5 linked regions of the Oryctolagus cuniculus genome follow. The protein of the gene in region 4 binds, or shares a complex with, the protein of the main gene of each other region. Links are inferred from orthologs where the notes say so. Each region holds a gene or a part of one and is shown on either strand. Other genes may lie near its edges.

Region 1 (5,662 bases), on a different chromosome or scaffold from region 4:
TGCCCTCCTGCCTCTGGTGTGTGCCCACTGCCATCCTCCTCCTTCTGTTCCCCTTTGCCGGCATTCCTTGCAGCCTAAATACCAATGAGCAGCCTCAGTGCCATCTGGCTTGGCGGTCATCTGAGATCCGCGGGAGCCACATTGACCATTGCTGTGGCTGCCAGCCTCTCACGGCTGCTGAGCACTTGAAACGTGGATCCTGTGAATGGAAATGGGCTGGTAAGCATGAAATGTACATTGGATTTTGAAAACTTTATGTTGAAAGGATATTTTGGATATACTGTCTGGGTATGTAAAATATTTTCTTAAAAGTTAATTCACATGTTTTTAGACTTCTCTGATGTGGCTACCAGATCATTTCACATAAGGAGTGCCCTGTCATCTTATTTCTGTTTGCAGGCTGCCTAAGAGGTTAAACACATACACACACACACGCACACACCAAAAACCCAAGGCTGCACCTCGCAGCCCGGTAAAACGTTACACACCGAGTAACCACAAGGGGGCGGTCCTGCAACGCATGACCAGCAGGAAGCAGGCTGGCTCCCCAGCCAGCCGTCACAACTTGGTTTCCAGTAGTTAGTAAGTACTTCACTTACATGTCTGATTGCAATCTTGTGAGGTCAGCTTTTAAATCCTTTTTCCTAAAAATGTCTATGGTCCATATTGTGTTGTCCTTTACCAGAAATAACTCTTCTAGGGCAGGAATCCAAAACCCTTGAAAAGCAACGCACAAAGTGGGATTTGAAGGAAGCTGGAAGCTCCCCTCTGACCTCTGGGAATGAAGAGGGACTTTGCCCTCCAGGCTGAAAGCGCCCTGAGCTGGCCATAGTCAGCAGGGAGCCCGGGTAACAGCTGCAGGTGAGAGGGCTCAAGCACGCTTCCGGTAAGGCGAGGCTTAGCAGAACTGGCAGGACACACAGGTGCGCTCCTGTTTTCACCAAAGTGCTACCATCTGAGTGCACGCTGGCACTACCTCTGTGCCAGCAATTCACGTCCATCAAGTCTTAAAAACAACCATATCCTTTGGCCCGGTAATTCCACTTCTAGTAGCTTACCAGGAAAATTTTAAACTGCACAGAGATTTAGCCAAGAGGATATTCACCCAGCAAGCTAGTATCCAAACTGTACATTAACATGGAGTTGGTCAAGTCAGTTAAAGCACATACGGCTGAGACATGGAATATTTTGCAATTAATAAAAACTAAGTATTTATTTTTAAATATTTTATTTATTTGAAAGAGCTGCAGAGAGAGGTAGAGACAGGGAGAGAGGTCTTCCATCCGCTGGTTCACTCCCCAGATGACTGCAATGGCGGAGCTGTGCCGATCCAAAGTCAGCAGCTTCCTCCGGGTCTCTCTCGCCAGTGCAGGGGCCCAAGGACTTGGGCCATCTTCTACTGCTTTCCCAGGCCATAGCAGAGAGCTGGATCGGAAGTGGAGCAGCTGGGGCTCAAACCGGCGCCCATATAGGATGCTGGTGCTTCAGGCCAAGCCTTTAACCCACTGTGCCACAGCACCGGCCTCAAAACTAAGTATTTATTAACACGAACAGACATTTATGCTAAAACCTGTGCAAAGGCTCAGCAAAGGAATCATGTCCAATATTTTTTTTTTTTGCTTAGAAAAGAACAAAAGCCATTTAGAGCATACCTCTGCAAATACATCCACCTGAAAGGGACTGCAGTCACTTCTGGCAGTGGAAGTGTGGGAAGTGTGGCTGGTTTCCTTCCTTTATTTTTAATCTTGGCTTTGACAGCTTGTAAAGCTGTTTTCAGGGAGTGTCACCCCAGTCCTCCTTATGCGTTAGGTATCACACGGCACCTTCTGGCCCCAAACCTTCCTGAGCCCTGATCACAGGAAAAGCAGTGTCTTAGTTAAAATTCCAACACGTTTTGCCAGCGCCCCGCTCCGGGTTTTACCCGCGGGCCACCTCGTCCTTTGTCCCGGGTGTACGCCCTTCAAGGAGCCCGTGGCTCCTCTGGCCACTTGCTCCATCCCGCCGGGCCCGCAGGGTTACTGTCAAACACCATCCTGTCCTTGGGTCTCGGAGTCGTTTGCACTGAGACCAACGGACAAGAACCATTGGGCCAGACTGCAGGCCAGGAACTGAGGCGCTGGGGCCTGGCTGCAGACTCTCACCCCGCGCAGCCCGAACCCTCAGGGAGACGGGAGCACGGCTCGGCGCCGTCTTCCGGGAGAGAACTCGGACGTGGCGCCGCGGCGAATTTTGTCCCATCGGCGGCGCCGTCGCGGGCAGCGGAAGGCTCGCGTCACGTGACGGAGGCCCGCAGTGAAGCGGAACGCGACGGCTCCGGGGGCCCGGGCGGGGGTGCGCTGCCGGCCGGCGGGATGGAGGCGACCTTGGAGCAGCACCTGGAGGACACGTGAGCAGTGCGGGCCTCTCCGGCCAGTTCTGAGGTCGCAGCGCGGGTTACGTGCGGGACAGCGGGCGAGACCCGCGAGCGCCGGAGGGCGGCTCGGGGACGCCGTGCCACCCCAGAAGGCTGGCCGAGGGGACGGGGCCGGTGGCCCGAAGTTAATATCCCGCTGGGGCCCGCAGCCTTCCTCTCGGGGCGCCGTCCGCAGGATTAGGTCGTTCAGGAGGGTGTCGCAGGTGTGCCGTCGGCCGCACCGGGTACACACACACACAGATCGTGTGTGCGATCTGTCATTTGGTGTTTAAGGAAATACCTGTTCCTTAAATGTGTTAACGTCTGTGTAAACTCAAAGCTGCAAAAGTCTAAGGTGTACGTGCAGACACCACCCTCCCAGCCACTCCCTCGTCATCCCACTTCCCTTCCGGGAGGCAACGCCTCTTAGTTTGTCCAGTTGTCTTACCTGAGCTGTTACGTAAAGCGTGCGGTTAGAACGGCGAAAAACCCCGCATCCGAACTGTTGCGTGCGCCTAGGCTTCCCAAACCCAGCAGATACTCATTCTTCTCTGCAGCTGGCTTCAATTACTACTTTAATTTTGCTCGGGGTTGGGGAGTGTGGTAGGAAAGAGGTCGAGAAACCCATTTAAAGCACTTAGGCAATGCCTGATAGCATGGCAGGCCCACGGGCGTCATAACCGTTTGCATCCACTTTCTCAAGCCCTCTGCCTCACCTCTCCTGTGTTTCTGGAATTAGGATGAAGAACCCGTCCATTGTTGGAGTCCTGTGCACAGACTCACAAGGCCTCAATCTGGGCTGTAAGTATCTCCTGCCAACCCTTTGCTGGACTGCGCCACACCTGGTGTTGACCAAATAGTATTTGAGTCATTTCAAACTGGGCCTAGACAGGACTCGCCCATGAGAGCTGTGAGCATGTGCTGAGCCATATGCGAGGCTCCACCTGCCTTGCTGCACTTTCCACAGTATCCCTGCATGATGGGTGGGTGCAGTGTTCTAGTCCAAGTACACCAACAGTGAAAATAGGAGATTCTGAGTTTGGCACAGCTGAGTTCAAACACTCCCCCCACCCCCACCCCGTTCTTTCATTTGCTAGTTGTGTGAACTTGGGCCTAAATGAACCTTTCAGGAACTTTTTTTTTTTTTTAATATTTATTTATTTATTTGAAAGAATTAGAGAGAGGGAGAGACAGAGAGATCTTGCATCCTCTGAGTCATTCCCCAGATGGCTATAATGTCCAGGGCTGGGCCAGGCCAAAGCCAGAATCATCCAGGTCTCCCACAAGAGTGGCAGGGACCCAAACACTTGGGCGATCTACTGCTTTCCCCAGACCTTTAGCAGGGAGCTGCATCAGAAATGGAGCAGAAGGACACAAACCGCTGCCAATATGGGATGCCGGCATCAGAGATGTGTCATGGCACCGGCCTCCATGGCATAGCTTCACTGGGCTCTTGTTTACTGAGACTAGTGCTTACAGAATTGCGTGCTCTTCCTTGAGTTCCAGGTACCATTCTAATGGTAACTCACGCACTCCTCCTAACAACCAACGTGAGGCACAGAGGTAAAGTAGCTTGCCTAGGGTCATAGGGCGGTAATTGGCTGAGCTAGAAATGGTGTCAGGGTCCAAAGCCTCTTCAATCACAATGCCGTGAGATTATATAATATGCTTAAGACAGTGCACACCCAGATGGAACATGCTCAGAGAATGACAGCAATCACAGATGAGGAAATGATAGATAAGGAAAATGATAGATAACTAGAGCATTTAGTTAATGTCAGAACTAGTAAACCCAGGACACGTCTTAGTGCAAGAATTTTTAAAGCTCTGAATTTTTGCTGCAAGGGTAACAAAGCGGTAATCTATAACTCAGTTGCTTGGAGAAAAAAGGCAAATGTTTTGACGCTTTTGCCAGACTCACTAATGGAAATACTGAAATGAAGTGTGAAACTCTATTAGAGTTGCTTCAAGAAAGCTTCAAGGTGCAAAAGATGGCGCCGTGCTGGTGAGTTGCTGTCAGGAAATCCCTCTGCCCACCAGCCACAGGCACGGTTCTGCTTGGCCTGCCTTCATACACACATACAGGACACAGTAAACTCAGCAGTTACATTTTGTGCTTGGGACCCAAGGTTCCGTTATCATATACAAGCTAAAGCAGTCAGGAGTAGAAGACAATCGTGTGGGCATTTGAAAACAGCCAAGTAGCTATGCTAGCAGAAATAACTGCTCACAGAATGTTCACACGTGCCATCGAGGAGATCTGAGACTGCGTGACTCCTCAGGAGAGGAAATCCGCTTTCCCATGAGGAATGAATTAGCTTCAGCAAGCCTCTTGCGCGTATTGACTGCTTTTTGTCAATCTCACCTCTAAGCTTTTTGTTTTCGCAAGGTTCCTATCCAGTGAATTTATGGTTTTCAGAGTGACCTGAATTACAGCGTCCTGGTATGTTGAAGCTGTTTACAGATGGTGATAGGTGTGTCAGTTATAGCTTACTGATTTATTGATTTTTGTTGCCCGGCTTTCTCACTGATGTAACCACTGAGCGTCAGGGAACAGTCACTTCATGTAAGCACCAAACTTAAAGGACCAGGACCTGAACCTCCTCTTTGTGAATCATTCAGTGAGATACTGTTGCTCCAAACTTACTTGTGGCTCACCAGGTGCCCTGATACCATCGTTCTCTCTCTCTCTCAGGCCGTGGGACGCTGTCAGATGAGCATGCTGGAGTGATCTCTGTTCTGGCGCAGCAAGCAGCAAAGCTAACCTCTGACCCCACCGACATTCCTGTGGTGTGCCTAGAATCAGATAATGGGTGAGTAGAGGCCTCAGATCCTTTCCTTTCTGTTCAGAAAAACCCCTGGACAACTTGACTGAGGCCTGCTCTGTGTTCCTCAGTGACTCCATACTCAAAGTATGTCGGAGCAGGTTCTTGACCCTTTGGGCCATGGGAGCAGACAAGAATCTTGGAAGCCAATGTGCTGGCAGACCACAGTGACACTTAAATGAAGAGTAAACTGTTATTAGTCTCCCAGGAAAACAGAAGTAATTAAGTACCACAAAAGAAAACTAATCAAAGCATCAAGCCTTTTTTCTTTTTTTTTTTTTTTTTTAAGATTTATTTATTTGAAAGAGCTACACAAAGAGGGAAAGAAAGAATCCTCCATGTGCTGGTTCACTCTTCAGGTGGCCACAATGGCCAGGGCTGGGGCAGGCCAGAGCCAGGAGCCTCATCCAGGTCTCCCACATGGGTGGCAGAGGCCGAGATTCCA
Region 2 (5,532 bases), on a different chromosome or scaffold from region 4:
GACAGTGAGAGAGAGAGACAGAGAGAAAGGTCTTCCTTTGCCGTTGGTTCACCCTCCAATGGCCGCCGCGGCCGGCGCGCTGCGGCCGGCGCACCGCGCTGATCCGATGGCAGGAGCCAGGAGCCAGGTGCTTTTCCTGGTCTCCCATGGGGTGCAGGGCCCAAGCACCTGGGCCATCCTCCACTGCACTCCCTGGCCACAGCAGAGAGCTGGCCTGGAAGAGGGGCAACCGGGACAGAATCCGGCGCCCCAACCGGGACTAGAACCCGGTGTGCCGGCGCCGCAAGGCGGAGGATTAGCCTAGTGAGCCGCGGCGCCGGCCTACTGCTCCACTTCTGATCCAGTTTCCTGCTAATGTGCCTGGGAAAGCAGCAGACGATGGCCCAAGTACTTCAGCCCCTGTACTCACATGGGTGACCCGGATGAAGCTCCTGGATTCAGCCTGACCCAGCCTCAGCTGTTGTGGCCACTTAGAGAGTGAACCAGCGAAGGGTAGGTTAGGAGCCATCCTTCCAACCCCAGAAAGAAGAAAAGGCAAGCCCCTCGAAGCCCAGAATGGCCACTGACCTCTCAGGGTCTGATATGCTCTTGTCCAGCCTGTGCCAGGAGCCCACTCCCAACAAGGTTGCCAACCAGGTAGCTAAGAATCTGCTGTGACCTCACCAGGGTAGGTGAGGTCACAGCACTGGAGAGGCCAGGAGAGCTGAGGCACCTCTGCCAAGAACCATTTGGTAGCGGGAGGTCACAGGGAAGGTGCAGGTGGACGCCCATTCTTGCAGAACACAGGACACCCTGTACGTGGCCCCTGCTCCTTCCTGCCTCCTATGATTCTTCCCATCCAAAAAAAAAAAAAAAGCCAAGACACAAGACAGGAGCTGAATTTCATTCTTGAACAACAACAACAACAAATCAAAAACCACAGTCCCGCCCTCCCCCCATGGTCTCTATGATGCTGACCCCATTCTGACCCCAGCTTCCACCAATGTCCATTATGATGCAGCTACTTGGGTCAGGGGCTCCTCCAGGTACTGCACCAAGGCCTGGGCCTGCAAGAGGGGGGGAAGAAGTCAGTGTCGCAGATGCCTGCCACTTGACGGATCCCAGTTCTACTCCCAAGGCCGCCCCTCAACCACTCCCACCTCCCTCCTGCCCACATCAGACACTAATTGAGCTGACGGAAGGACTTGAGAGCGGTGCGGTGCTGTGGGTGGGAGTGGACACAGTGACGGAGCACAACAGCGGGCCCACAGCTGCGGCAGGATGGACATGTACACACCTTGGCCTTGAGCATGCCGAAGCCCACGGTCTCCTTGGCATACATACACAGCAGAAGGTTGGCCACGCGGGTGATGGCTACACGGCCCTCCTGGTAGGGGATATGATGGGATGGGATGTTCTGTTTGACACTCACAGGACCCGCCTTCCCCGAGGGTTCCTGACTTAAAATGTATGTCTCGTCTGGGTTGCAGTCACATTTGAAAGTTACTGCTTTAAATAGCACCAGCTCCAGCTAGGCACCCATAGGAGTCACCTGCTGAGCCAAAATGGCAGTGGTGAGGTCAGGGGGGGCAGGCAGCCAAGTTACAGTGGAGACCCTTCCTGGTGCACGCACCCTTGCAATCTGTTCATTTTGGTTCTGCAAACCTTTACTAGGTGTCCGCTGTGTGCTGGGAACCAGGCACCACAGCCCCTGTCTTTCTGGTCCTATCTCCTGCTACCCTCCCGCGACTCAGGCCAAGCTTGCTGATCCTAGTCCAGGCCCCACTCTGTCACAGGACCTTGGTACTTGCTGCTCTGTCAGAGGGCCACATGACTGGACCCCCACCACCCTCTGTCCTTTGATCAAACATCGCCTTTTCAGTGACACTGGCCCTAACACACGCCCTCCATACCCTCTTACTTCCCTGCTTTGTTTTTCTCCATTGCATTTCATACGGTCCAGACCAGATAGTCTGCTTATTTTAAAACACATGTAAGGTTGTAAGCTCCACCAGGAATGGGGTTTTTGTCTGTCCTGTCTGTATGCCCCCTCTAGTCCTAAAAGTCCTGCAGGACCTAAATGGTCGTCACCTAAGAGATTCAGAGAGGAGCGAAGCAGTCCCTGTTCCCAAGAAAGTCACAGTGTAATGGCCACTTCTCCTGTCCGGGTCTGGAGACTCCGCCATGGCCCTGCAAGTCGGTGGCGCTGGGTGGACACGCTCTGCGTCTGAACAGCTCTCTACGGTGTAGACCCATTCTTTCATTTGATTGTCAACAGTCCCGAGGTGGGGGAGGATGGCTCATCACCTCCTGCTTGGAGATGAGGGAAGTGACTTACCCAAGGTTTCACCACTGCTAAGTGCATGGCAGAGACCAGAACCCAAGTCAGACCTGAGGTCCGGGGCTCCTTCCTCACCACCGCTGGGTGCTCCCGGGCCTGCCTATCGCAAACGCTGCTGCAGGACCAACTCTTAGCAATCTCTCGGAGATTCTGTCCCTGCCCCAACAATCATCCAGGATGGGGGCCAGTTCGCCCCCTGGGAATCCCCTTGGTGGATGGAGGAAGTCTGGCTCCCCTCTCTCCGTACCATGCAGTCCATGAGGATGAATTTAAGGTTGTCTTCGTTAAACGCCTGGTTCCCGTTTCGGTCATAAGCTGCCCAGATGTTACTCGCGATGGCCGCGGTGACCCGGGCGTCCGTGTCTCCATAACCCGAGTAGGCCAGCAGCGATCCCTCGTTATTCAGCAGCCTGGCGAGAGACAAGGATGGGATGTCGACATGCTCAAACGCCTGGGTCCCCGCCCCGACGCCCGTATCACTGGCGCTCCTACGAGGCAAGGGGCTGAGCTGAGCGTGTCCCGGAAGGCGTCCCGAGCCCCCAGCACGCTGGCTTCCCTTTCCAGAGGCGCGCTCTCGGTCAGCTGCGGGTCCCCTCGGCCGCCTCCCTTCCCCGCCCCACTCCGCTGCCGCCGCACGGGTCCACGGCCCGCACTCACAGGGTGCTCTGGACGCCTCCGGTGTTGGCTTGGCTTAGCACCTGGGTCAACGCCTTGGGACGCAGCATGCCAGCGGCTCGTCACCCAGCCTTTAAATCCCAGATCCTCCGAGCGGCGTCCCGCTTAGCCGCGGCCTGCGGCTTCCGGCAGTGCAGCGACCCGCTCGGGAACGCCCTGGGAGTTGTAGTTTTCCGACCCCGTGACAGCTGCTCTGGCCCCACCCCGCTCAGCCGCGGAGGGACTGGGAATCGTAGTTCCTGTGGTCTCGCAAGGCACACTGGGAACTGTAGTTCGCCTCCTCAGCTAGACCACGCGGTCGTGGGGGAAAAGAGCGGGAGTGGAAGGGCAATGTGGCAGGGTTGGGAGGACGTTTAACCCCTTGGCGGAGAGAGGTCATCATGGCCGCTTGGCTACTCACGAAGCGATAATAGTAGTAATAAATCCTCGTATTTGTCGGGCACAGCCTGGGTTACTTCTCAGAGCGGTTTTCTACGTTAGGCACTATTCTGTGGGATGAGGCAAGAGATTCTGTTTTCTTGAAACCGAGGCTGGAACGGTGACGCCGGCAACACCCAGTTCTCGCACCGTACAGAACAGGCCATTCAGGCCGTGGGCATCGGGAGCAACAGGGTCACTCCCTGAGTGGAGGCTTTAAGTGGACGTCCCGCGGGGAGAAAATTCAGACTCCCGGTGGAGCGAGGCCCCAGGCCTGGAAAGGAACTTGCACCGCCCAGGGAAGACCAAGTTATCACAGAAAAAGCGGCCACGCAGAAAGTCCTTTGTCCGGGAGCAGGAGTAACCGCGGAGGGGAGGGGGCGGCCCGGGGTCGCAGGGCACGGCGGCGAGGCTCGGGCCGGGCGGGGGTCTCTCGCAGGCCCCCGCCGTGAAGGACACGCCCTCCGCGCCCAGAGGCCCTCGCCACCCAGGCCGCGTCCCGGCGGCCGGACCCCAGGCCGGGCCCTGGGCGGACCCCGCTGCAGTGGCCCCCCCAGTCCGCCCGGGGCGCTGTGGCTGCGGCGGGTCCGGAGGGGGCGGCGGAGCCGCGGCGAGGGGAGGGGAGAGGGGAGTGTTGGAGGCGCCGAGCCGAGCCGGGCCGGCCGGCGGGCGGGGAGGAGGAGGAGGAGGAGGAGCCGGGCGGGCTGGCGGGCGGCCGGGTGGCGGCGGCGGCATGGCGGAGCCGAGCGGGGCCGAGACGAGGCCCCCCATTCGGGTCACCGTCAAGACCCCCAAGGACAAGGAGGAAATTGTGATCTGCGATCGAGCCTCGGTCAAGGAGGTAGTAGGGCTAGCGGCGGGCGGGGGGGGAGCGGAGAGGGAGTGCGGAGGAGGGGGCTACGAAGAAACGGGGCGGGGGGCCTCCGTGACTGCCTGGCGTCCGGGACGGCCCCGGGGAGGAGGGCGGGGGCCGGCGGGGACTCGCGTGGGCAGGAGAGGCGGATATGGGGCGCCCTGCGCGGGCGGGTCTGGGGGAGTGTGGCGCGTGCTGGGGGGAGCGGGCTTTGCACTGGAGCCGGGGCTGGGGGCGTGGTGGAAGAGTGGGTAAGGGGACACCTTGCGCCGGCCCCCGGGAAGCACCCTGGGGCTGAGGGGAGTGTGCGCCCCTGGAACTGGCCGGGGTTCGAGGCGCCGAGGCGCAGTGGCGGCCCCGGCTAGGTGCTGGACCCGTAGAGCGGGTAGGGGGCAGGCGGAGAGCGCCCGCGTCTCCTGTGTGGCCCGGAGAACGCCCAGAGTCCGCCGAACGCAGGGCGCGGGGTGGGGTGGAGGATGTTCTCTGCCCTAGATCCTTCCTGCTCTTTAAGCCCGAGGTGGTCACACTTGGTTTTCAGCTCTTCTGAGATTTGCACAGTGTGCAGTAGGTGCTCCATAAGGTTTTGTTGAATGAGGGACTCTTGCCTGCGTTCGCCACCCCCCTGTAGTTGCTCCAGAATTTCACATAGGCGGGGCTTCAGGATGGGCCATCTGGTTGGAAGAGAGGGATTTGGAAGCTCCCTTTGCTTATTAGCAAGTGCGCCTTTTCTACTCGGAGTGTGCGTTGGGTTGGGTTGGGCTTTGCAGGGACTGAGAATTGAACTCTCCCAGCAGTATAAAATGACTGAATTCCAGAAGAGGGGTCCCTGCAAAGCTGACTTTGAAAACAGCTGGAATTGAGAGGCAAGAGTGTCTGGTCAAGACCTGAGTTCCAATCTGCCCAGGATGTTACCTAAGCTCCCTGCTCTTCCGTTTTCTGATCTTGAACACGGAGTTAATAATGAAAATACCGGACCATTAACTCGTGCCTGGTTCGTGCTCAGTGGCTGGACCTTGTTGTTGCTGTTGTTGAGAGAGCTGGAAGTCAGGAGAGGCGGGACGCTGGAGCGGGGAGAGGAGAAGGCTGAAGAAGCGCCAGGCCGTAGAAGGAGTTGATGGGGCAGTTGCTCAGTCTGGGGTACAGATAGCTGTGAGGGCTTCCTCGGGTGGGAGACTGGGATGGCGCTGAGAGAGGAGCCTCTGACTGGCTTATCTTCCTGGTTAAGAAAGAAGCTCCCTGGGAGGCAGCAGGCGGCAGCTCAAGTCCT
Region 3 (5,700 bases), on a different chromosome or scaffold from region 4:
GGGAGTGGTTGCCCTCTCCCATGCCCCCTTCCTCCACACGTGGCCTCTCAGCAGACCTCCTTGGTGGAGGTGGGAACTAAATATGAAAGTAAAAGAACATATCTGAGCGGGTGTGAATGGGCAAGGGACACGCTGGGTTCAACTGATGTGCTTGGAACCCACACTCAAGGGCCCTGCTTACCTGGGCTGAAGGCTCCTGCTTAGGGAAGACCAGAGCACAGGACAGGAGGGGGAGTCCTCAGGGAGGGAGAGCCCGGAGGCAGAAAGCTGGGCCTGCTTTCAATTATTGATGCTGAGGCTGCTGCTGTCACCCGAAACCTGCAGCTTCAGTTACCAGTCTCGGGGACAAGCTGAAGCTTCTCCTGCCCTTCAGGATTCTTCCAAAAATTTAACTTCAAGGTCTTGATTTGAGAGGTAATACAAGCTGCTAGGTCTAGTATCCTCTCTTGCATCTCCATGGATCGGGATGTGGGGCACGGGATGAACCAAGGTGGTGGGAGATTGATTTACTCAAAAGCCAGTTTTCTGTAAGCAAGCGTTGGCTTTGGTCACAGAGAAGAGTCAGAACCTCTTGCCATCTTCCAGAAACTGCCAGGTTTAGTAGAAGACACCAACCCAGGAACAGAGAACATAGTTTGATCATTAGGTTGGATGCTGCATGAAACCAGGGACTTTGGGCTATTAGGTGAACTGCTGCATATTCAGGACCGTGTGTGGCACATAGCACTCAGTAAATTTTTGTTGATTTGATAATCAACACTGGATAAGGGTTAAGCACAGAGAACTGGAGATGAGTAGCAATGGGTCAGAGAAAGCAATCAAGGGGATATTGTTTGTGTTGAGACTTAGGAGTAGGCAGACCTGGAGGGAGGACTGTGTGCTGGGCTGCATGTGTGAAGTCCAGGTGGTCAATCAGGAAACCAAGCACTGAGGTTAGAGAAACGCCTCCCTCCCTCATTCCTCCCCTCCCACTCAGGGGCGAGGAACGGAAAGGAGCAGGTATCAGGCTATTCATGATACTGAATGGCACACTTGGACCTGGGTTAGGGGTGGAGAACACAGGGGAAGGGTTTTTTTTTTTTTTGTTATTATTATTAAAGATTTTTTCATTTCATTTGAAAGGCAGAGTTAGACCGATGTTCCATCCCCCAGTTCACTACCCAAATGGCTGCAACAGCCAGAGCTGAGCCTATCCAAAGCCAGGAGCCAGGAGCTTCTGGGTCTGCAACGTGGGTGCAGGGGGCCCAAGGACTAGGGCCATCTTCTACTAATTTCGCAGGCTATAGCAGAGAGCTTTCTATTTTTTTTTCTAGTTAATGATTTATTTGAAAGGCAGAGTAAGAGAGAGAGGCGAGATGGAGAGACAGCTTCCACTCACTGGTTCACTCCCCAAATGTCCACAAAGGCCTGGGATTTCCCAGGCTGAAGCCAGGAGCTTTTTTCCAGGTCTCCTACTTGGGTGCAGGGGCCCAAGGACTTGGGCCATTCTCACTGCTTTTCCAGGCACATTAGCAGGGAGGTGGATCAGAAGTGGAGCAGCCAAGACTCTAACCAGTGCCCATATGGGATTCCGGCCCCTTGGCTGCATTGGTCCAGGGGGAAAGTTTTAAGAAAAGAACTGGGGGAGGGGGGAGCTGGTCTCTGTTAAGTTATGATGGCAGCTGCAAAAAGATCAGAAGGTAAGATTAGGTGGCCTCTTTCTCTCTACAAGGCTAACCTCTACTTGGCTTCACCTAGTTAAGATATAAAGTCCCTTCTTTAAGTTGCAGATCTCCAGCACAATTTGATAACTGTCAGGCACCACACCCCAGTTGAGAGCCGGTAAGGGACCTATGTACGTGTTCCCAGACTGCATTCGCCCTGGATCCCACTCGCTCCTCTCATGGCATTTAGAAAAGTAAGTATATCATGACATTTGCTGTAGGAACTCATTCACTGGCCCAGAAAGGTGGCTTAGCGGCCATGTAACCACAAGGCACAATTCTCATAAGGACCATGACAACCAAAGTCAGAGGTTTCGAGCTTAAAGACTCGGCAAATAATTAAGTCATGTGATACGCCCCTCCCTTTCTTCGCATCACGTGCCTCGCGCCCCATCGCGCAGGATGCCCCTTCCCATTGGCTGACGATGGTCACGCGGGCAGGGGCGGGGCCGGAAGCCAGGCTTCGGCAGCGGCAGTGAGACGGGGTAGGCGTGGGGAGGGCTGCCGGTGGTTGCCTGCGGGAGGCAGCTACGGGTCATGTGACCGGAAGGGCTCCTGACGGACGCCGACCCTCCTCGGCTCGGCCTGAGCGCCCGGCCCGACCCCGGCCATGGGGTGCTGCTACAGCAGCGAAAACGAAGACTCGGACCAGGTGCGGCCGCGGCAGGCGGGGCTCGGGAAAGAGGGCTGAGGTCCTGGGGCACGGGGCCCAGAAAGAAATCTGCCGAGGAGTGGGAACCGGACTGCAGGGCTCACTGAGTACGGAGGCCTGGAGGGGACAGATTACGGAGGGGACGCCGAGCCGGACTCCTACCCTTCTTAAAGCCCTAGGTCTCCTACACAGTTCCCGCCTGGGGGGTGTGCATGCAGCTGTCTGTCCAGCTCTCTCCCACCCATTCCGTGTCCCTCTACTTCAGATCTTTACACTTTCACGCGTCTTCAACCCAGGTCCCTGGGAAGCACTCTCTCCCGAGCTTCCTGTGCCTTCTCTGTGCTAGTGTTAGCGGAGTGTGAATCCACTGTAGCGGTGGGTAGGCTGAGGCTCCGACTTAAGCTGTCCCGAGATGAGTCGGGAATTTGTGTATGCTCTTAGTCCCCGGGTTTAGAGAAGGGAGGTCACGCCTGGTCTGGGGTCCGAGAAGGCCGCTGGAAGTTGAGGACGTCGGGTCTTGCAGGAAATTGGGCAGCAAGGGCTCAGGTGTACCTTTTTCTGAAAAGAAATGGATGGGAGAGCTCCATTGTTTTGAGCTTGGCCTGCCTCGGTGCAGTCCCTGCCTGGGGACTGAGGGTTCCCCCAGCTAGAGGAGTGCCTCCCCTGGCCTTTTGACTCGTTCTGATCCCTTTGGAGAAAGGATTAGGCTGGGGAGAACTGACCTGTACAGCGTAAACTTCTCCATCTTCCCTTGGGTTCATCCGCACTTCTCTCCCCAGTTAAGCCCTGCCCGGCCACTTTGAGCAGGCGCGGATCTTTCCCAGGATGAAGTCCCAAGCTGCTAGCCAGCCGCTCCCCGTTTTGACTGCCTCTGTGTCTGGGTTCTGCATTTCAGCGCTGGCTCATAGCAGCAGAGACAGTGGAAAGCTTGCATCAGGTAGCTCAGCGTTTAGTGAAGAGATGGGCTAGCACCAGAACTTGGGAAATAGTTTTTTGCCTTTTGGTCCACCCTCCTCCCAGTGTGGGTGTTTTGGATTTAGGGCTTAAGCTCAGGGAAGGCTGCTGTGTGTCTGGGAGGCATGGGTGGCTTGGCTAGTGGGCTTCAGTTCTCCAAGCAACTCGTGTGTATGCTCCCGTTACTAGGCTGTGTGTTAAGCATGCCTCATGCCCAACACCTCTCACTTCACCTCAACCTGTTACAGTGTCCCTGCACAATGCAAGACCCATACATAACCTAGACTGTTGCAGAGAGTGAGTCACTGAGGGTTACTGCCCTGTGAGAAACGGCACAAGTTTACCTAGAAGGGAGACCTAGGTTTTCTGCCTTTTTCTTTCTTTCCTTTTTTTTTTTTTTTTTTTAAGATTTCTTTATTTATTTGAAAGGCAGAGTTATAGAGAAGCAGAAAGAGGTCTCCATCCTCTCGTTCCCTCCCCAAATGGCCACAGTGGCCAGAGCTGGACCAATCTGAAGCCATTAGCCAGTTGCAGGTACAAGGGCCCAAAGACTTGGGCAGTCTTCTGCTTTCTCCCAGGGCCACAGCAGAGAGCTGGACAGGAAGTGGAGCAGCCAGGATTAGAACCAGCACCTATATGGGAGGCTGGCACTTCAGGCGGCGGCTTTACCTGCTGTGCCACAGCACCGGCCCCTGCTGCTTTCTTAGTCTTTTATCTTTTCCCTTGATGGAGTCTCATTTCTGTGGGTTTCTTTTTTCTAAGTAATAGGAATTTATATCACATTCATTATTTGTGAAATACAATAAGGCTGCTTTATTTTTATTTATTTATTTTTGACAGAGTGGACAGTGAGAGAGAGACAGAGAGAAAGGTCTTCCTTTGCCATTGGTTCAGCCTCCAATGGCCACTGCGGCCGGCGCACCGCACTGATCCGATGGCAGGAGCCAGGTACTTATCCTGGTCTCCCATGGGGGGTAGGGCCCAAGCACTTGGGCCATCCTCCACTGCCTTCCCTGGCCACAGCAGAGAGTTGGCCTGGAAGAGGGGCAACCGGGACAGAATGCGGCGCCCCGACCGGGACTAGAACCCGGTGTGCCAGCGCCGCAAGGCGGAGGATTAGCCTGTTGAGCCGCGGCGCTGGCCTATTTTTTTTAAATACTTATTTATTGGAGAAGGAGAGGTTGTGTGCTGGCATCAGTTGGTTCACTCCCCAAATGCCCACAAAGACCAAGTCTGGATCAGCTGAAGCCAAGAGCCTGGAACTCCATCTGCATCTCCAAATGGGTGGCAGGGGCTAAGGACTTGGGCCATCTTCCATAGCTTTCCCAAGCGACCACAGGGAGCTGGATCAGAAGTGGAGCAGCTGGGGCTTGAACCAGGGCCCTTATGAGATGACAGTAGCTTAACCTGCTGCACCACGCTGGCCCCTCATTTCTGTATGGAGCTGTCAGGGAACGTGTATGATCCGTGTTGGGTGATTTGAGGCCTCATGTGACAAAGGCCATGATCATTGCTGCCTCAAAGTCCTCTTCCAGCAACTCTCTCCCAGTTCCATCTCTGCTCCTTATTATTTTATGAAGAAATATACAGGATATTACAATTCTCAAAGGGCTGGACAGTTACCTCATTTGGCTCTTGCCAAATGTATGTCATAAGATCTGGGTTATGGGCCGGCGCCGCGGCTCACTAGGCTAATCCTCCGCCTAGCGGCGCCGGCACACCGGGTTCTAGTCCCGGTCGGGGCGCCGGATTCTGTCCCGGTTGCCCCTCTTCCAGGCCAGCCCTCTGCTGTGGCCAGGGAGTGCAGTGGAGGATGGCCCAGGTGCTTGGGCCCTGCACCCCATGGGAGACCAGGAAAAGCACCTGGCTCCTGGCTCCTGCCATCGGATCAGCGCGGTGCGCCGGCCGCAGCGCGCCGGCCGCGGCGGCCATTGGAGGGTGAACCAACGGCAAAGGAAGACCTTTCTCTCTGTCTCTCTCTCTCACTGTCCACTCTGCCTGTCAAAAAATAAAAAATAAATAAATAAAAATAAAAATAAAAGGAAAAAAAAAAGATCTGGGTTATGTCTGTTTAAGGGTTAGGAAGGAGTTCAGAGAGGTTGGGTGATTTAGCCACGCTGAGAAGTGCTGTGGCCAAGATGTTTTGATGCCAAACCAGTGGGCTTTATTTTATCTCTTGGCCAAGCTGTCTTTTCCAGCAATGCTTACAGGCCAGGTAGCCAGCCATGGGCAGGCCACATGCATGTCTTTGCCAGGGTAGACAGTGAAATCCTACCCTTGGCTTATTTTGACCCAGTGACAAACCTGCCCCATGCTGTTCTCGCCCTGTGGGAATAGGATGATGATATTTATAAATTCTGAAGGAAGTAGCATGTCCTCTTCTGACAGGCC
Region 4 (5,783 bases):
TTATTTGAAAGAGTTACACAGAGAAGGAGAGGCAGAGAGAGAGAGAGAAAGTCTATCTGCTGGTTCATTCCCCAATTGGCCGTAACAGCTACAGCTGCTCCAATTTGAAGCCAGGAGCCAGAAGCTTCTTCCGGGTCTCCCACCCGGGTACAGGGGCCCAAGCACTTGGGCCATCTTCTGCTTTCCCAGGCCACAGCAGAGAGCTGGATCAGAAGTGGAGCGACCAGGACTTGAACTGGTGCCCATATGGGATGCCAGCACTGCAGGTGATGGCTTTACCTGCTATGGCGCAGCACCGGCCCCAGCTGTTAAGTTCTTACAGATTCATGTAATTTGAGTAAGCATCTCTAAAGGGTAGGCAGCCATTGGGATACCGGCATCTGGCTCCTGACACAGCTGCTCCGCTTCCGAACCAGCTCCCTGCTAACGTGCCCGGGGAAGAAAAGCGGCAGAACTTGGCCCCAAATGCCTGGATCCCTGCCACCCATGGGGGAGACCTGGATGGAGTTCCAGGCTCCTGACTTCAGCCAGGCCCAGCCACGGCTCTCTGGGGAGTGAACCTGTAGATTCTCTCACTCTACCTTTGCCTTTCAAATACATGAACTAGATCGTGTGTGTGTTGGGGGGAAGATGGCAGCTAAAGCCTGGGGAGTTGGGAAAGATACTAATGGCCCAAATCAGGCTACTGTGACTGAATGGCTTCCCCTCATTGGAGCCTCATCAGCCGATGGCATGGAAATAGTGGAATCTGGACCGGGACTGAGAAAGGGAATTCCTGGAATTAAAGTTCCAAGATGGGGAAAAAATTGTCTTTAAGCTTAAAACGTCACCAATGAGTGTTCGTTTCAGTAACACCTTTTGGTAAGAGAAAAACCAGGAAAAAACATTCCCAGAGTTTGAGAGACCAAAAACCTGATGGAAACAAGACTGTGCAATTAGTGAATGTAGAGTAATTAAAAAGATTTGAGATTTATTCAAGTATCAAAGGCAGCGTTAGAACGAGGACAGACGGAATCTTCCCTCCGCTGGTTCACGACCCAAATAGCTTAGCGGCAACAGTTGGGGCTGGGTCAGGCACGAGCCAGGAGCTTCCTCCAGGGCTCCCACCTGGGCGCAGGGGCCCGGGCACCTGGGCCACCTGCTGCCGCCTTCCCGGGCATATTAGGGAGCCAGATCAGAAGTGGAGCAGCCGGTACCCCTATGGGACAGCCGCACTGCAGGCGGTGGCTTTACCCGCTAGACCCTAAAGAATGGAATTTTTAACCCTGAACTGTCACCTTTATTCCTTGGAACAGCAGAGAGAGACAGGGAGAGCTTCCATCCGCAGGTTCGCCATCTGGATGGTCGCAGCAGCTGGGGCTGGGCCAGGAGCCGCGCACCCTGCGTGGGTCTCCCACGTTGAGCAGGGACCCTCCCCGAGCGGAACCCGGGCAGCGCCCTAACCACGGCTCCAAACGCCCGCCCCTCCAGGGTCTCCTGCACTCTCCAAGCATCCAGCGAGCTCCTGCGTGGCTGACAGCCGAGGAAAAGCGGAATTCCTGGCACGGCTGCGCTTCGGCGGGCCCCGCTCTACCCTCGATTCGGCTCGCTAAGCGCAGCGGCGGGGCTGACCGGGATCAGGGGAACGTGGGTGGCGGCCGCCCCCGACCCCGGGACCTCCGCCCGGGCTCCGTCACCCCCTCAAGCCCGGAGGAGCACCGGAGGCGCCACGAGTTTTACAGACTACATTATGGAATAACTGATATTCGGTCAAAACAAACAATTTCCAAGTGTGGCTCCAACGGTTCCGCGCAGGGAACCGAGTCCCGCGCATGCGCACCGGCGCCCAGCCGCCCAAGCCGAGCACCGCCCCTGTTGCCTGACGGCCGCCGCACCTTCCACCCTCTTCGCGAGGATGGGGTTTATCAGCTATTTAGTGAAAACCGGCGGTGAAACTAAAAGGAGTTACAGCAGGTTTTTACGTTCTCGTCTTTATTTTTCTGTCTTTTGTGGGCAGAAAGTCTAGGATTGGCTCTATTTCCCCCTCAAATCTTTTTGTTTGGTTGGTTTTTACATTTTAAGCACCCCCACACGTTTGAAATGGTTTTGTCCAGCAGCGCTTGCGGGTACGGTTTAAACCATTCTGTACTTCTCTGAGAGGGGGAGCGGCGCAGCGGCGTGGAAGAGGAAGGTGTCGGGTTGGGAAATTCCCGCTGCCACTAGACTTCGGAGTTACGGGGGCGCGGGCCTTCGTTCCCAGACCCAAGGACCTGGTGGGGCCTCGCTCGCCTCGCGGTGCGGGGTGCGCTCGGGCAATCCGGGCGCCCCCGCGGCGGGCATGGGCGGATGGTACGGTCCGACCCAGTCACGCGCCTCTGGCTTGGCGCCGGGGCAGCCTGGACTGAGGGGACCGCGGGTGAGTGTGGCCGCCCGGGTCTGGGCGTCTCCCCCTCGGGGTCGGGCCCGCCGTGCAATGCGGCCGCGACCACCTGTCCCTTAGGGCCGGCTCCGGCCTCACCTTGACCTGTCCGGCGGGGACGGCGAGGGCCCGGCCGAGTGTGGGGCGGGCAGCGGTGGGCGAGTGGCTTGGGGCGTTGCGGAGAGCTGGCGATGTGGAGGGAGCGTGAGGCCACATCCTAGCTCCTCGCGGGAGGAGGAGGAGCCGGGGCCGTTGTTTGGTTCCGATTTGACGTTGCCCTGCCTCTCTCCCGGTGCCCGCTGCTCCAGCGCCGGCCCGGGTTTGCCCTGGAAGACCGCAGTTCTTCCTAGGGTTGGTGGACGTGGCCGAGAATGCTTGGTCCAGCGAGGTCAGCAGGGGGTGAGAAGCAGCGTGCCGTGGACACCCGGCGCCACCCCGGTGTCCAGCCAGGCTGGTGGGGGGGACCTTTGTCACTGCAGAGAAAGGCGGCAGCCGGTGGCACTGGCTTATCACTGTTGTCATCGCGTCCTTGAGTAACCCTGGCACGTGACCTTGTGTCTGCTGTCCGCGACAACCTAGGTGAGGGCAGCAGCAGTGGTGCCCGCGGGTTCCAGCCGGAAGGAAGCCCCGAGGGAGACCGGTTAGGGGCTGCTGCATGCTCACTGCGGGTCACCTGGCCCCTGCTGGATCTGCGGGGGCTCCTTCAACCCCCTGTGGGCCTCTGGGATCCTAGGGAGCTGGGGGGGGGGGGCGGTGGCAGGGGGGGAGAGTGTGGTGTGGCGGTCCCGGCCAGGCTGAGGAGTCGGGACACCTGCTTGTAGGGTGTAGAGCTCACTGGGCAGGGGAGGCTGGAGTGGAGCTAGAGGAAGGCAGTGGAAGAGAGCTTTATTTGAAAGTCGGAGTTACACAGAGAAGGAGAGAGAGACAGAGAGAGGTCTCCGCTGGTCATCCGCTGGTTCACTCCCCAAATGGCTGAAATGGCTGGAGCTGGGCTGATCCGAAGCCAGGAGCTTTTCTGGGTCTTCCACGTGGGTGCAGGGGCCCAAGCGCTTGGTTCATCTTCCACTGCTTTCCCAGGCCAGAGCAGAGAGCTGGATCGGAAGTGGAGCAGCCGGGACTCAAACCGGTGCTCTTTGAATTGGGTCTGGATTTTTTTTTTTTCCTGGGCCTGGAATACGTTGGGTGACAACGTCTCTGGTGCCCGCTCCGGCCTAGGCAGGCTGGAGCAGGTGTGCGTGGGGTGGGGCAGAGGGCTGCCTTGGTCTGGGTGTGTGGCTGGAAGGAGCCTTTTTTTTTTTTTCCTCCAAGGAAGGCGTGGCCCCCTTTCCAGGCTCTGGGGCAGGGCATCTGTGTCTGCTTTTGTTTTCCATCCTATTAGCCCTGCCTTGACCTCCTGGTTCCAGTTCTGGTTCTGGTCCCGGTCTGGTCCATGGTCACCTCCCATGTCTCCTCGTCCGCTGTGGGTCTCAAAGCCCTTGACGAATGTTCTTGACCTCACTGTCATGGAGCCCCTGGGTTCTTTCTTTAAACTCAGTCCATCGGCTCCTGTGCCACTGGACTGTCCCTGCGGTGGGCACCTCCATCTACTTCCTGTGCTGACGGCTGTCACCTCCCCGTGGGCAGCCCCTAAACCTGTTTATTTATCCGTCACGTGCTCTTTGGGTGCCCTGTGTGTCGGGAACCGCTGTAGACACCAGGGGACAACGTCTCTACCTGCTGGAAATTTTATTTTTATTTTTTAAGATTTGAAAGGCAGAGATATGGGGGGGAGAGAGAGAGAGATCAATCAATCTTCCATCCAATGGTTCGCTCCCCAAATGGCTGCAACAGCTGGGGCTGGGCCAGGCTGAAGCCAGGGGCCAGGAGCTTCTTCTGGGTCTCCCACGTGGGTGCAGGAGCCCAAGCACTTGGACCATTCCCAGGAGCGTTAGCAGGGAGCTGCATTGGAAGTGGAGCAGCCTGGACTCGAAGTGGCACCGATACGGGATGCTGGCACTGCCGGCAGACGCTTAACCTCTGTGCCACAGCGCCGGCCCCAGGAAATCTGGTCTTTGTAAAGGGGAAGTACACACAACCTGTTAGGAGACAGAAATGAGGCAGGGCGGGGGCAGGGCAGCTGTCCCGGGTGGGCTGGCTGGGGAGGCCTCGGACCGGGTACAGGGCAGGGGCAGGGCCGCGGGTGCCTGGGACCTTCTCCCCAGCCCTGCCCTCTCATCTGCAGTCGGTGTGGCCACGGCCTGCTCCAGGCGTCCCGGCTGAGCCTCGGGCCGTCTGCACTTGCGTCACCTGCCTCTGGGAACACCTCGGGCCAGGGGCCGGAGCCTCCGCTCTCCACGCTCACTCCCGCCCGCTTCTCTTCCGTTTTGCCTCTGCCATTGCCAGCCCCTGCTGCGTCCGGGTCCGCGGACGGCCAGGTGGGTTGCCATTGGTGGGCAGGCACGGGTGTGGGCTCTGTTTCTCTGACCTTGACCTCTGCTAGGGCACCAGTGACCTCCCTGTTACTTTGCAGGGGATCCCTGCCCACTGTTTTTTTTTTTTTTTTTCTGTCCAAATTGTGCTAAAATGCACATAAAGTGGACTATTGTCAGCACGCAGCTGTGTGTTGCTGAGTGATGGAACCGCCAGCACAGGCTGGCTCCAGTGCTGTCCACATGCCGGGCTTAAACATGAACTGCCCAACCCCCTGGCACCATTGCCCCTTCCGTCCCTGTGGATCCCACCACTCGGAGCCCGAGCCCCACCCCCACCCCCAACTTGGATGTGTGAATTTCAAAGTTCTTTTTGCACCAAAGGAAACTTTATCCTTCCCTTCCAGAGGTAAAGTCCCCCGTACAGTCTCGTGTCAATTGGGCATTGCTTGTCCTTTTGTGACGGGCTCCTGTCACCGGGCTTGCCATGCTGTGAGCCAGCCTGCACGGCCTCTTCCGCTGTCGTCCAGGTCTCCTGTGTCATGTTGGAGCCTCACTCTCCGAGGCCCCAGGGGTCTGCATCCTGGGGCTTCAAGACCCCTCCTCTGGGGGCCTCTGCCAGCCCCACTGGCCCCTCGGAGCACTGGACTGGGCAGGTTCCCGTGCCCCTCCCCGGGGAGGGCTGCTTCCTCGTCCAGACTGGGAGGCGCTCAGCAGGTGCGTGCTGGGCAGGGGTCCACTTGAAGTCCACTTTATGGACCTCTCAGTCGCCCTGGAGTTTGCGGGTCCCTGCAAGGGTAGCTGTCCTTCTCCTGTGCTGTCTGCCCCGGGGCCCTGTCTCAGTTCTGCCCGGAGGGCCTTTGGTGCGGCCATTCACCCCCACGCCCCCTCTCGTGGCTGCCTCTGGGCCCGATGGGATCTGGCTTCCGTTGTCTGTGCTGCCCCTGACGTGGCGCTGGGTGCAAAGCGGGTGCTGC
Region 5 (5,034 bases), on a different chromosome or scaffold from region 4:
CAACGGCAAAAGGAAGACCTTTCTCTCTGTCTCTCTCTCTCACTGTCCACTCTGCCTGTTAAAAAAAATAAAAAATAATATCATACTTAATAACAAAAAACTTCAGTATTTTCACCTAAGATCAGGAATAAGAAAACAACATCTACTGTCACTACATCCATGCAACACTATACTAATGCAGTTTGGGTCAGGGGGAAAACATAAATAAAAGCATCTAGGTGAGAAAGGAAGGTGTAAAACTGCTCACTGATGACATGAGCCTATGTGTAATAAACTGAAGGGATCTCTACAAAAAAGGAATAGAACTAATAAAGAGTTTAGCAAGGTCACAAGACATAAGAACAATATATAAAATTTAACTGTACTTCTATTATGTAAGTAAAAATAACTTCAAAGGGAAATTAAGAATCCCATTATCATTTAAACAGTCACATTTTTTTAAAGAATTATTTTATTTATTCTAATACAGAGTTACAGAGAGAGAGAGGCAGCAGACAGAGAAGTCTTCCATTCTGCTGGTTCACTCCCCAAATGACCGTAAAGGCCAGAGCTATATCGAATAGATGAGCTGAGCTCATCTGAGGCCAGGAGCCAAGAGCTTCTCCTGGGTTTCCCATGTGGGCTCAGAGGCCCAAGGAGTTGGGCCATCTTCTACTGCTTTCCCAGGCCACAGCAGAGAGCTGAATCAGAATAGGAGCAGCCGGGACTCGAACCAGCGCCCATATGGGATGCTGTTGCTGCAGGCTGGGGCTTTAATCCGCTGTGCCACAGTGCCTGCACCACAACTTTGTAATGTTATAAATAATCTACCAATGAACATCTATGAGTACATAAAGAACTTGCTATATTTCAGATCTTCCATTTGGGCACATTCCTGGAACTCTTACTTGCCTTCGCAGTGTAGGTACTGTTGGGCACCAAAAAGTAGGTTGTGCCCAGATCGTTAGATCCCCGCAGAGACCCCCAGAGAGTCGATCACACCTAACTGCAAAAGCAAGGTTTATTGGGGAGTACAAGCCGTGACAGGGACCCCATCCAACCAACCGGCACAGCAGAGGAAGGAGTGAGGCCCCGGTCTTTGTTAGGGAGAGTTTTTAAAGGAAAAAAGGGCTATATCAGCAGGAAAAGAGTTACATACAGCACGGAAGCTCTGGGCACAGGGAGTTACAGCAGGGCTTACAGCACGGAAGCTCTGGGCACAGGGAGTTACTTTGTTCAGCAATCTCTACTGTGCTGTCCTTGGTCTACCGAGCTAGCTGTCCCTGGTAAGCTTTGATATCTCTGGAATGCCTGAATGCCTGCTTTTACGAGGACCCCGGTCTGCAATGGGAAATGGAGGCTGCTTTTTTTTATTGTTTAAAAATGGAGTCACTTTGGTTCTTCAGTACAAACATGCAAGTGCTATACTTGAAGTGACACACTCAAAGAATGACTGTGTAACAGTGAAGTGTGACCAAGAACACATGGCAGCTCTGGGTTCTACTGGTTATCAGTTTATTCTAAATCAATTCAAGAACAGAGATGGCTATTACCTGCACAGCATGAGACAAGTCTGACATTAGACACTGCCGGAGCCTCTCATCACTCCCAATTCCTTGAAGAACAAAGTCAGGCACATAAGATGAGCAGTAGCCAGCCAGCAGGGACCTCCCAAAGTTGGCAATGTTGGGCTGAACAGAACTCACTTCAATTAATTTTGACCTGGAAGAAAGATTCCCAAATAAGGCATATCCAATTAACAATAAACACATTTCCCAGTAAAAATGTGCATACACCACCAGTTCATATTTCTAGCACATTATTTTCTACAAAATACACTCTGAACATCACCCTTAAATAAAAACTTGTCTAAGTGCTCAGACTACAAAATACTCCTTATCAAAAGACCTGTGGCCGGCGCCGCAGCTCACTAGGCTAATCCTCCGCCTAGCGGCGCCGGCACACCGGGTTCTAGTCCCAGTCAGGGCGCCGGATTCTGTCCCGGTTGCCCCTCTTCCAGGCCAGCTCTCTGCAGTGGCCAGGGAGTGCAGTGGAGGATGGCCCAGGTGCTTGGGCCCTGCACCCTATGGGAGACCAGGAAAAGCACCTGGCTCCTGGCTCCTGCCATCGGATCAGTGCAGTGCGCCGGCCGCAGCACGCCGGCCGCGGCGGCCATTGGAGGGTGAACCAACGGCAAAAAGAAGACCTTTCTCTCTGTCTCTCTCTCTCTCACTGTCCACTCTGCCTGTCAAAAAAAAAAAAAAAAAAAAAAAAAAAAAAGGCCTGATACATAACTTTGTAATGATATGAGCATAAATCTTACTATTCATAATAGATTTCAGGAGACTTGTTCCTTGTATTTGTAACACTTCTTAATATAATCATATTGAGAAAATGAACATCCAAAATAAACTAGCTAAATATCTTAAATTCCAAAGCTGGTGTCTAACATTTCTCAATCCCTGATGCTCTCCTTCTACGTGATCTAGAGTATACACTGCCTGTTTTCCTCTTAGTTCTTGCCCAGATCCTTTTCTACCTTCTCAGTGAGAACTTCACCATAACTTCCAGACTCACTCTGCACATTCTGGGGGGTCATACTTCATTTTAAAATGGCTTGAAAACTCTTAAGCAGTATGTAATTACAACTACTTATCAACCAGGTCCTTTAACTTTCTGATGCTTTCACAAAGCTTTCCTAGGGAGCTTGTGAAGCTTAGCATTTATGAAGTAAAACTACAAGATGCTAAAAGACAATTTGTCTAGGACAATGATCTCTTCTACATTAGCTACTACTACCCTTCAGAGACCAGCTAGACAGAAGAATGTTACAGACTTTTTAAATAAGACCTACTATAAGAGGAAAACATCCTACTTACCCAGGAAATGGTATCTCATCCTCTTCTGCCCAGTCTTCTTGCTCTCCTGCATAGTAACTACTGACTGGTCTAGTCATATCATGACCTGCATCTTCGCTTTCACTATCACCAAGGGCACTGTCTGAACTTTCATTTCTTGGAATGTCCCATTCAGTTCCTACAGCAATTTTTTTCTCTGAACTCTCTTTATCCCCATGGGGGACAAGAATGGAGAGTGTATTTCTTTGGTCCTGCTGAGGAAAGCAGGTTTTACATGAATCCTGGTGAACTGCCTCTACACATTTACAAAATTCATTGCTTTGTTTGCTGGTTTTTGTACACAACATTTTTGAAAACTCCAACACACAGCAGTGTTCTTTACTGTCTGCATTTGTTTTATCTAGAACATCATCAATAGTCCTGGTTTCAATTGAATCATCATTAAAATATTCATCAAATAAGCTCATGTTTTCAGAGTCTGAATGACTCCAACAGGGGAGTTCACAGGGCTCTCCAGAAATCAAGTTCTGTCTATTAGACTCTCCAGATTGGTCCTTAGTTGTTTGTTTAGTTTCTTTATGTTGATCAATTGCCCCTCTTTCTTCCTTCAGTGGTTTGGTGTGATGCCTGGTAATTTGATCCACCACTGCCTGACTCCGGAGTTCAGTGTCCGAATCAGGTGACATAGAATCCCCAATCAGAAAAGTAACCTTTGTCTGGGCTGCCTCACAAGAAAATACAGCAGGTACAATCTTATCTGGAGGTTTTTTTTCCACGACCACTCCTGTAGATCTCAATGCTTTATCTGTGTGATGATCTGAATTCAGCAGTTCCTCACTGTGCCATGTTTCCTCTGTTGGCTCTAAGCCTGCTTCTGACAATGCACATTTGTCTACTGGAGCAGATCCTGTGCAAACAACTGTTTCTAACTTGGTGTCAAGGCAAGTTCTTAATTTATCTCTGCACTGTTTAACATCAACAACATTTTCTTCTTGGCAGTCAGGAGGACAAACCATTCGGCATTCATCTGAAATTCCCAGTAGCTCTGTAGAGCTGTTCTGGATATCTTCTCCGTCCTGTCGTGAAGCACTCTCTGCGTTTTGCCCAACAAGTGGACGAGTGCAATACTTACAGCCACAGTTAGGAGTTCTTGTTTCTTCTGACTCTTTAAAGAGCAAACTACTTTTGTTTCTATGCATTGTGATAAGCACATACTCTGATTCTTCTATTTCACCTTTTTCTAGGGTGGTAGTGATTACTGTGCCTGGCATAACAATGGCTTCATCTTCTCCATTTTCTAAAAGATGGGTTTCTTGAAGTTCAGAGCATCTTATAAAGTATGTAAGAAAATAAAGCAGCCTCTGGACCATGTCTTGCCGTTTGCCAACTACCACAGTCCTCGCTAACCGCACAGGAGAGCCAATAGCGCCATACAAGTCTCCTGCAATGGAAAAATTAGTTAATAGGCACATCGTCTCTCTCCTCACATAGTCAAAAATGCTATTTTTTAATTATGAGAAACATACTCTTAATGTATAAGAGGCAGTAGAGGTTTTTAGTTCTTTACTCTATACAGCACAGTAGGAGCAGATGAATGGTCTTAACTAGAGAGAATGATGAAGAGAAAGCTTTTCTAGCTTCCCCCTTAAATAGCTGTTGTGGTTCTAAAACCAAGAGTGAGTTCTTTTTTTTTTTTTTTTTTTTTTTTTTGACAGGCAGAGTGGACAGTGAGAGAGACAGAGAGAAAGGTCTTCCTTTTTTGCCGCTGGTTCACCCTCCAATGGCCGCCGCGGCCGGCACGCTGTGGCCCGCGCACCGCGCTGATCCGATGGCAGGAGCCAGGTACTTATCCTGGTCTCCCATGGGGTGCAGGGCCCAAGCACTTGGGCCATCCTCCACTGCCTTCCCGGGCCACAGCAGAGAGCTGGCCTGGAAGAGGGGCAACCGGGACAGAATCCGGCGCCCCAACCGGGACTAGAACCCAGTGTGCCGGCACCACAAGGCGGAGGATTCGCCTAGTGAGCCGCGGCGCCGGCCAAGAGTGAGTTCTGAAAGCCACATTTACCAAGAACATTCATTGTGCCAGGCTCCATGCAGAGCACCGTTATCTACATGGGAAAGTACTGCCCAGAGAATTATGTACACAAGAATTCTTTAGCTATCCAGTGTAGAAACAAGAAAGCACATTTCTTGCTGA

The links.
Region 1: FLCN (region 4) and LAMTOR5 share a complex: the UniProt entries of both Homo sapiens proteins name them as parts of the lysosomal folliculin complex. The link is inferred for Oryctolagus cuniculus from reciprocal best matches to the Homo sapiens genes FLCN and LAMTOR5.
Region 2: FLCN (region 4) and LAMTOR2 share a complex: the UniProt entries of both Homo sapiens proteins name them as parts of the lysosomal folliculin complex. The link is inferred for Oryctolagus cuniculus from reciprocal best matches to the Homo sapiens genes FLCN and LAMTOR2.
Region 3: FLCN (region 4) and LAMTOR1 share a complex: the UniProt entries of both Homo sapiens proteins name them as parts of the lysosomal folliculin complex. The link is inferred for Oryctolagus cuniculus from reciprocal best matches to the Homo sapiens genes FLCN and LAMTOR1.
Region 5: FLCN (region 4) and FNIP1 share a complex: the UniProt entries of both Homo sapiens proteins name them as parts of the lysosomal folliculin complex. The link is inferred for Oryctolagus cuniculus from reciprocal best matches to the Homo sapiens genes FLCN and FNIP1.

Annotation. Positions count from the first base shown.
Region 1 is NC_091438.1:59,943,529-59,949,190, forward strand, and holds the start of LAMTOR5 (ragulator complex protein LAMTOR5), read left to right. Parts: upstream 1-2,254; 5' UTR 2,255-2,351; coding exon 2,352-2,386; exon of another isoform or gene 2,387-3,131; coding exon 3,132-3,193; exon of another isoform or gene 3,194-5,087; coding exon 5,088-5,205; exon of another isoform or gene 5,206-5,662. UniProt on the Homo sapiens protein: As part of the Ragulator complex it is involved in amino acid sensing and activation of mTORC1, a signaling complex promoting cell growth in response to growth factors, energy levels, and amino acids.
Region 2 is NC_091438.1:42,633,803-42,639,334, forward strand, and holds LAMTOR2 (ragulator complex protein LAMTOR2), read right to left. Parts: upstream 3,904-5,532; 5' UTR 3,046-3,903; coding exon 2,978-3,045; intron 2,731-2,977; coding exon 2,568-2,730; intron 1,367-2,567; coding exon 1,277-1,366; intron 1,047-1,276; coding exon 990-1,046; 3' UTR 872-989; downstream 1-871. Other genes in the region: UBQLN4 (ubiquilin-4), read left to right, coding at 4,146-4,253. UniProt on the Homo sapiens protein: As part of the Ragulator complex it is involved in amino acid sensing and activation of mTORC1, a signaling complex promoting cell growth in response to growth factors, energy levels, and amino acids.
Region 3 is NC_091432.1:63,583,987-63,589,686, reverse strand, and holds the start of LAMTOR1 (ragulator complex protein LAMTOR1), read left to right. Parts: upstream 1-2,104; 5' UTR 2,105-2,313; coding exon 2,314-2,355; intron 2,356-5,700. UniProt on the Homo sapiens protein: Key component of the Ragulator complex, a multiprotein complex involved in amino acid sensing and activation of mTORC1, a signaling complex promoting cell growth in response to growth factors, energy levels, and amino acids.
Region 4 is NC_091448.1:66,243,352-66,249,134, reverse strand, and holds the start of FLCN (folliculin), read left to right. Parts: upstream 1-2,259; 5' UTR 2,260-2,395; exon of another isoform or gene 2,396-2,977; intron 2,978-4,619; 5' UTR 4,620-4,812; intron 4,813-5,783. UniProt on the Homo sapiens protein: Multi-functional protein, involved in both the cellular response to amino acid availability and in the regulation of glycolysis.
Region 5 is NC_091437.1:20,301,466-20,306,499, forward strand, and holds part of FNIP1 (folliculin-interacting protein 1), read right to left. Parts: intron 4,279-5,034; coding exon 2,859-4,278; intron 1,702-2,858; coding exon 1,533-1,701; intron 1-1,532. UniProt on the Homo sapiens protein: Binding partner of the GTPase-activating protein FLCN: involved in the cellular response to amino acid availability by regulating the non-canonical mTORC1 signaling cascade controlling the MiT/TFE factors TFEB and TFE3.